Linked DNA regions of Mus musculus. The protein of the gene in region 1 purifies or fractionates together with the protein of each later gene. This does not show direct contact. Links are inferred from orthologs where the notes say so. Each region holds a gene or a part of one and is shown on either strand. Other genes may lie near its edges.

Evidence for each region. The genes of interacting proteins can lie anywhere in the genome.
Region 2: the proteins of Polr2e (region 1) and Polr3c purify together in Homo sapiens (affinity purification with mass spectrometry; 4 studies listed by BioGRID and IntAct, counting the BioPlex papers as one, with this or other methods). This does not show direct contact. The link is inferred for Mus musculus from reciprocal best matches to the Homo sapiens genes POLR2E and POLR3C.

What each region holds. Positions count from the first base shown.
Region 1 is NC_000076.6:80,036,714-80,041,031, forward strand, and holds the start of Polr2e (DNA-directed RNA polymerases I, II, and III subunit RPABC1), read right to left. Parts: upstream 2,947-4,318; 5' UTR 2,927-2,946; coding exon 2,870-2,926; intron 1,901-2,869; coding exon 1,726-1,900; intron 672-1,725; coding exon 475-671; intron 261-474; coding exon 202-260; intron 130-201; coding exon 51-129; intron 1-50. UniProt on the Homo sapiens protein: DNA-dependent RNA polymerase catalyzes the transcription of DNA into RNA using the four ribonucleoside triphosphates as substrates.
Region 2 is NC_000069.6:96,717,424-96,721,069, forward strand, and holds part of Polr3c (DNA-directed RNA polymerase III subunit RPC3), read right to left. Parts: intron 2,143-3,646; coding exon 2,038-2,142; intron 1,904-2,037; coding exon 1,811-1,903; intron 1-1,810. UniProt on the Homo sapiens protein: DNA-dependent RNA polymerase catalyzes the transcription of DNA into RNA using the four ribonucleoside triphosphates as substrates.

The DNA of each region.
Region 1 (4,318 bases):
CAATAATTCCCAAAGGGCCTAGGAGGGGAACAACCACTGTGGCTTCTCACCTGCCCTCGCTTGATCCCAAAGTACCGTGCCACTGGGTCCCCGGCCTGGATTCTGGGTAGCTGGCTCTCACGAAGCTTGCTAGAACAGTCAAGGAAGCAGCTGGCGGGCAGCGCTGGGGTGAGGGGGGTGTGGGGACAGAGTAAAGGATACTATCGAGCCAGCAGTTCAGTCACCTCCTCCTTTGTCATGACCACGTGCTCAGGGACTAGCTGTGGAGACAGAGACCCACCCACAGGCACGCGGCCATCAGGAACTTCAACAGACCAACAGACTAATGGGTATTGTCATGGGGCTGGGACAGAGGACAAAACCAGGCTATTAATATCACCAAGTTGGATGCTCAGGGCCAAAACCGGGGAAGCACCCCGCCCCGGCCCGTGTCCTGGATGCAGGCAGCACTACGCCCCACCCCACCACACACACCTCGTGCTCTGTGATATTGATGAGCAGCTCCTGCTGTAGAAACTGTTCCAGCACATACTTCGGGGCCATGTCCACCAGGGACTGCTTGGCGGAGGGCGTCATGCCCTGCTGCACCACAATCAGCGCCCGTGTGATGTTTTCCTCCTGCATGCGCTGGCAGTATACCTTGATGGTCTTGATGCCCACCTTGGGCTCCTCTGCGGGCACACAAGCACCACCCTCACACTCACTACTGGAGCCTGTGGTCTTAGTTTCTCTGCTTGCAAGGGAAGACTAGAACATCAAGGCAGCCATGATGGGGCTGCCAGGGGGCTCAGCTATCACTGCAGAAGCTGCAGGGTATGCAGGAACTGCGGCCCCCCTGGAACGGGGGTGGGGGCTCTCAGCAGCTCTGGGGTTTGGGGGATATGGTACTGTCAGCTTAGACAGCCTCAAGGAGAAACTGACTGACCAAGAGATGGACCCTGTGTCTACATGAGGCTAGCCTTGTCTCCTCAGGCAGAGCGCAGGAGCAGACCCAGGCCACCTAGTTTGCAAATTGCTGGATAAACACAGGTATATTTACATTATGACTCATAATAGTAGCAAAATTAGTTATGAATTAGCAATGAAGATTTTATGGTTGGAGGTCACAATGTGAAGTGTACTAAGGGGTCCCAGCATCAGGAAGGCTGAGAACCAATGCCCTCCATAGTTGTCCCGGAAGTCATTGTATAGACCAGGCTGGCCTCGACTGCCTGCCTCTGCCTCTCAAACACTGGGCTTACAGGCATATGCTACCATGCCCATCCCCGCACCCCCCAATTCTCACACTAAAAACCAGGTCCCGGGGCCACAAAGCATTAGGTATTAAAAGAGGCAAGCTGTCTGGGGAGACTGAATGTAGCTGCACAGGGAGGTCCTGGGCTCCCCAATAGCCTTCACTCCCACAAGACACCTGCGCTGCTGGCAGAAGCTGTAGAATACAGCACACAGGGGGTGTGGGGGTGGCATAGCTGGCCCTGGGACTCCCAGGCAGAAGCTATAGAATACAGCATATAGGAGCCAGGGGGTGGAGGGCTGAGAGCTGGTTCTGGGGCTTATGGGATGAAAACGACACCAGCAAAAGGGAGGCTTCCCAGGGGAGACAGGGACAAAAGCAGGCAGCTGCCACAATCTTACAGGCAGCGTTAGGCCAGAGTGGGACATGCATTCACTGGCACCTGAGCCAGGGCCTGGAGGAGACCACTCCTGCCAGCCCAAGGGCCTCACCTGGGAAGAACACAAACATCTGGTCTGTGGGGTCATCGTTGTGGGCCACCAGCACCGTGAGGTCTGTGCGCCTTGGCCGTCCTTCGCTGGGCTTGTCCCCAAACTGCGCCTTGAATTCCTCAAGTGTCTGGTCCAGTTCATCCTGGGTCACCAGGTAGCCACGGTCATGACACAGCTGCAGAGACAAGAGGCAAAGAGGCAGTCAGCCTGAGCACTTAGCTCGCAGACCTGACCCTGAATGGCCGAGGCTGGGGACTAACACTGAACTGATCCAGCAGTACCCAAACTCTGTATAGGCTCAGACCACAGCGGCCCGGCCAAGCCTCTCCTCCCCCCAACCTCAGTGGAGCAGGCTGGGATTAATCCCCTGGCAACTGTAGGCAACCTTCTGAATACAGGCACCTTCCTGTCCCCAGTCTTGAGTGTTCCTGATGAGGGAGACTAGAGCATCATCCAGGATCAGGGCTGAGGAACAGGCATGAGGTGGCCCTGGGCTCCACCAACACAGCATAAGTCAAAACTATGCATACCTCTTTATCTAATAATGGTGTCTCATGTGTTCAACTCAAAACAACCAAGAATTTTTTCTTTTATTCCCTTTTTCTTTTTCAAGACAGGGTTTCTCTGCGTGACTTTGTCTATTCTGGAAATCACTATGTAGATGAGGCTGACTTCTAATTTAAAGAGATTCGCTTGCTTCTGCCTCCAGAGTGCTGGGATTAAAGGCGTGTACCATCATACCGGCTTGTTCTGTTTTTAAAAATACTGTTTTTTCATCCTATGTGTGTCTGGAGTCCCCAGAGATCAGGACAGGGCGTCAGATCCCCTGGAACTGGGGTTACAGATGGTTGATAGCTTTCGTGTGGGCGGCTACCTAGCTCGCATAAAACCAAGTGTGACCACGCAGCAGCCCCCTCTCCCGAAACGGAGCCCACCCAGGCCTTTTCCCCTGAGGCAGAGTTAGGAGGTGGAAGCAGTAGGATTTCTAAGAGTTGAAGCCAGCGTGGGTGGGCTCCACACTTTAAACGGGGATGCATTCCAATCCAGGAGGATTGGCCCCTGCGGGAGGCGGGCCTCGGCGGACAACCCGCAGTTAGTCCGCAACTGAACGCTCGCTCGCATAAAGCTCCTCACGCTTGATCACCTGCATGATCGTCTTGCGGATCTTCCACAGCCGGTAGGTCTCCTCCTCGTCGTCCATGCTGTCGCGCTTCCCAAACAACTGTGCACGCGCGCTCGTGGAGCTGCCAGCACGGAGCCTGCGCCGGACGCACAAAATGCCCCCCGCCCCCCGGCAGTGCGCCTGCGCCAAGGGCTGGGAAGGCCCCCGCCCAGGTTCGTGCTGTCTAAGGTGAACGCCGGAATAAACCTACTTTCCACGACAGGCTGCGCGTTGGGCAGCCCCAGCCTTCACCGGGGCGGTGTCGCGCGTCGGGAAGATCTCGCGATACTTGACCTGATAACAGTTTTATTTCCCTCCCTTAGGCGTCTCCCGGGCTGTAGTCCACGCCTTTAATCCCCGTCCTCGGCAAGCAGATCTGTGAGTTCGAGGCCAGCCTGCTCTATAGCCAGGTCTACAGAGAAAACCCTGTCTCGAAAGAAAGCAAGAGACCAGTGATGAACAGCCAGGTTCATGTGCCTCAATTTCCCTTTTTATACAAGTTTTTATTAGTGTATCTGCACTTTACATGAGAAATCGGATGCAAGCACCCACATGAGGTGGCCCCCAGCCATTTGTAACTCCAGCTCCAGAGAGTCTGATGCCTCTGGCCTCCAAGGGCCACACTTACAGGTCTATACCCACATGCAGACACACAGATAAACATAGTTAAACGACTAAAAATCTAAAATGAAAACAATCGATGTGCGGGCATACACACAATGAACAAACAAGTGTGTATATGGTGGGCTAACTCGTGAAAAGTTTGAGAAGGTGGTGAGAAAATGAATCCTAGGGAAAGGGATTCCAGGGCTAAACCCTTCCAACTATACAATGGGAGTTCACAGGAACGCCCCTTTCTCCTTTTCTTTCTTTCTTATTTGTTTATTTATTTATTTATTTATTTATTACATGAAAGTACACTGTAGCTGTCTTCAGACACTCCAGAAGAGGGAGTCAGATCTCATTATGGGTGGTTATGAGCCACCATGTGGTTGCTGGGATTTGAACTTCGGACCTTCAGAAAAGCAGTCGGGTGCTCTTACCCACTGAGCCATCTCACCAGCCCTCTCCTTTTCTTTGGGGGAGTGTGCTGACTTGAAATTTGGTATAGAGACCAGGTCTCAACAGCGCAGAGAATGGCCTGCCTCTGCCTCTCAGTGTTGGGATTAAAGGCGTGTGCCACCAAGACTGGCAAGGTCTGTCCTTGGAAGTCCAGATGCCTCCATTCTGTCCTGATGTGCGTCTGACAGCTCATCTACAGATCATCACCAGTTCCTGCCTGAGAACTTAGGCTGATCCCAACTGGGAAAGACAAGTTTTTGCCAAGTACACTGAGCCCACCATCTACCCTGTAGACCAAGGGGCTTAGGCTGCTACAGTTGGCCAAAGAAGCCATGAGTGTGCAAAGGAAGGGGACATGGGCAAAGACGT
Region 2 (3,646 bases), on another chromosome or scaffold:
ACAGTCAGACCCTGACAGAAACAGAGTAGAAGGAGAAAAAACCCAAGTGTCCAGTGATAAATAATTAATTAAACTACAACCAAGTGTAGTGGTATATGCCTGTACTTAACACCAGCTCCCCAGAGGCTAGGGAGGAAGACTGTGGGTTACTGCGTAGCTATGGCCTCCAAAGGTAAACACTCTACTCTGGAGGGAGGCTTCTAAGACTCTGGAAGCTACAACGTATAAGGCTCAAGAAGCTCATGAAATTTACAAGGGACAAGAATTCAGAAAGTTAGGCCTTTGATCACAGCACTAGGGAGACAGAGGCCAGCCTGGTCTACAGGGCAAGTTTGAGGCCAGCAGAGACCCTGTCTTTAAAACAAACAAATCAATCAACTACAAAAACTTTAGAAACAATATAAAACATAATAGCAATATTTAAGTAAGTATAATTATAAAAGCAGTAGAAATGTAATGTTGCCAGGCAGTGGTGGCACACGCCTTTAATCCTAGTACTTAGGAGGCAGAAGCAGGTGGATTTCTGAGTTCGAGGCCAGCCTGGTCTACAGAGTGAGTTCCAGGACACAGTCAGGGCTACACAGAGAAATCCTGTCAAACAAACACAAAACAAAACAAAGACAAAAAAACAAAACAAAACAACAACAAAAAAGTAATTTTTAAATGCCAAGACTTTCATCAGAATCCAAACATGTATATATTGTTTTTTTTTTTTTTGTTTTTTGTTTTTTGTTTTTTTGTTTTTTTTCGAGACAGGGTTTCTCTTTATAGCCCTGGCTGTCCTGGAACACTCACTCTGTAGACCAGGCTGGCCTCGAACTCAGAAATTCGCCTGCCTCTGCTTCCCGAGTGCTGGGATTAAAGGCGTGCGCCACCACGCCCGGCCAAACATGTATATATTGTAAGATAGCCTTTATCGGAGCTAATGCTGTTGCCCAGCTTGGCTTTGAACTCCTGAGCTCAGGCAGGCAATCCCTGAAGCCTTAGGTAGGATTTCAGGCATTTGCCAGTACACCTGGCTAGTAGATTCTTAAAATAATTAGAAATAAACTGTACTTGACAGATATTTGACTATAATAATTTTAATGGCTTAACAACATTTTTTTAAAAGATTTATTTATTTATTTGTTTTTTTGAGATAGGGTTTCTCTGTGTAGTCTTGGCTGTCCTAGAAAATGCTTTGTAGACAAGGCTGGCCTTACACTTAGAGACTTACTTCCCTTTACCTCCTGAGTGCTAGGATTAAAGGTATGTGTTACCACACCTGACTTTCTCTCTTTTACTTATTTATTTTTATGTGTATATGTGTTTTGCCTGCATGACTGTAAGTGTATCATGTATGTGCAGTGCCCAAGGAAGCCAGGAGAAAGACCCCTTTGGATTGGAGTTACAGACAGTTGTGAGCTGCCTTGTATGTGCTGAGAATTGAACCTGGGTCCTCTGGAAGTGCAGCCAGTTCCTTTAATTGCTGAGCTATCTCTTTAGTCTCCATGGCTTAGCATTTTTAAAAGCTGGATTCTAAGGTGGTCAAACATTTCAGTGCTTAACATTTCCAAGAAATCCTTGCCCCACTGCAAGCAACAAAACCCTCCTTTTCACGCAAGGCACAGGCATCAGAAATCTACAAGTCACGTCTAATAACTGCTACAATATCTACGCCTAGCAGAAAGCTAGCACAGAAATACAAAGCTAAACCAGGCGTGCACACCTCTAAGCTCAGCAGTAGTGAGTTCCAGGACAGCCAGGGGCTACACAGAAAGTTCAAAACAAAACAACTCCTCCCCCCCCCAGAAAGAACCCTGAAGCGTACCTCATTGGAGGACAGCGGCTGAGTATAGGGGGCGCTAGAGGGAGTGGTGATCTCACTCATCCGGAGCATCGTCCGCACGATCTCGCTGCTTGTCTGAAAAACAGACAATTCAGAATATACCTTCACTGCCTCTGGCCCTGGCCCTGAGCCAGTGGCTACATCTGACATCCATCTCAATGACAGACCTTGTTCCTTGCTGATCACTGGCTGACCCACTTGGATATTACCTGGTCCATTCGGTTTGCCACTGCGCTCACGATTGCTTGGTCACGGAAGTGCTGGTGGAACCTGTCGAGGTTGACTTGCCAATAAATCCCATCGTCTGGTGAGGGCTGGGGAGAGGAGGATAGAGAGGCGGTGAGATGCAGCACCCGCCATCCCCAGGGTGCTCTGCTTGTTTTGTTTATACAGTAAAGCTCCACTTGTTTTGTCACACTGTAGCAATTAAATGGGCTAGAGAAAAGCATTCAAGAGTGTGGATTAGTGTGTCCCAAGGAAGTCTAACTTCAGGTTCCACAAAGTCACCTTCTTCCTTGGTTAATTCTTCTCCATTACTCTCCAATCTCTCATTTGACACCTTCTTTCCTCTAATAGAGGCCAGAACTCATTTAACTTTGTGTAAATATCTTTACTATCCCCCACTTTCCTTCTTCCCTCTCTCCAGGAGAACGTTTGTCCTTTTACCTAAGGGCAAGGGCCATGCTGCTGTTTCAGATCATGTCGTTCCCCTGGGCCTCAGGATCCAGGCCCTTTGCTTCCTGTCCTGAGGCTGCAAGGCTCCTGTACTGCTCTGTTCATCAGCTTTTACCCTGCGCAGGTCATGACTTCTCCTTCCACCCCATGCTTCCCTGCTTCCTTTCCCTCCTGGCTATCTATGCCAGCTCTGGCTTTGCTCAGCCACCTCTCTTATGAAATTTCAGTTGTTACTGGTATTCCAGACCCACCACTGTCCTCAAGAGCCTCCTTGTGGCTAAGCTTGGAGGATACTTCCCAGGCCTGATCTTATTTGACTGTTTCAGTGACATAATAGGACATTTTCTCAATTTACCTCCTTAAGTACAGGGACTAAAGCTTTGCGACACACCAGGACTAGCTAAATATCTACTTTTCTTTGTTGTTGTTGTTGTGAGAAAGTCTCTCTACATAGCCCTGGCTGTCCTGGAATGTACTATGTAGACCTCAAATTCACAGAGATCACCTGCCTCTGCCTCCTGAGTGCTGGGGTTAAAGGTGCGCACCACCACATCCAACCAGAAAGATTTAGTTTTGAGTTTATGTATCTGTGTGATTGTGTACTTGCATCTGCACCAGTGTCATGCTTGGAGCCTGTGGATCCACAAGAGGATATAAGATCCCCTAGAATTGAAGATAGGGTGTTTAGAACTGAACTTGGGTCCTCCTAACTGCTGAATCATCTCTCTAGCCCTACAAGATTTTTTTCTTTAATTCATATTATGTATATGTGCCTGCCACATGTGCGCAGAGGCCCCGAGATGGCCAGAAGGTGGTAGCTCTCTCAGAGCTGGAATTACAGACACAGGTGTTAGGAACCACACTTTGGTCGTCTGGGGGAAGAGGAGGTACTCTTAACTGCTAAGCCATCTCTCAACGTCCTAGACATCTATTTTTATTTATTTTTTGAGATAGGATCTCTCCCTGGGCTTGAACTTAACAAGTAGGCCAAGATGGCTGGTGAGCCCCAGGACCTTCCTGTGAATTTGTGTTGGGCCTGCAGATTAAACACGTCTGATAGATCATGTTTGCATATTTTAATACAATCTTACCTTTGCTTTCTTTTTTTTAAAAAAAAAAATAGGGTCTCATGAAGCTTAGCTG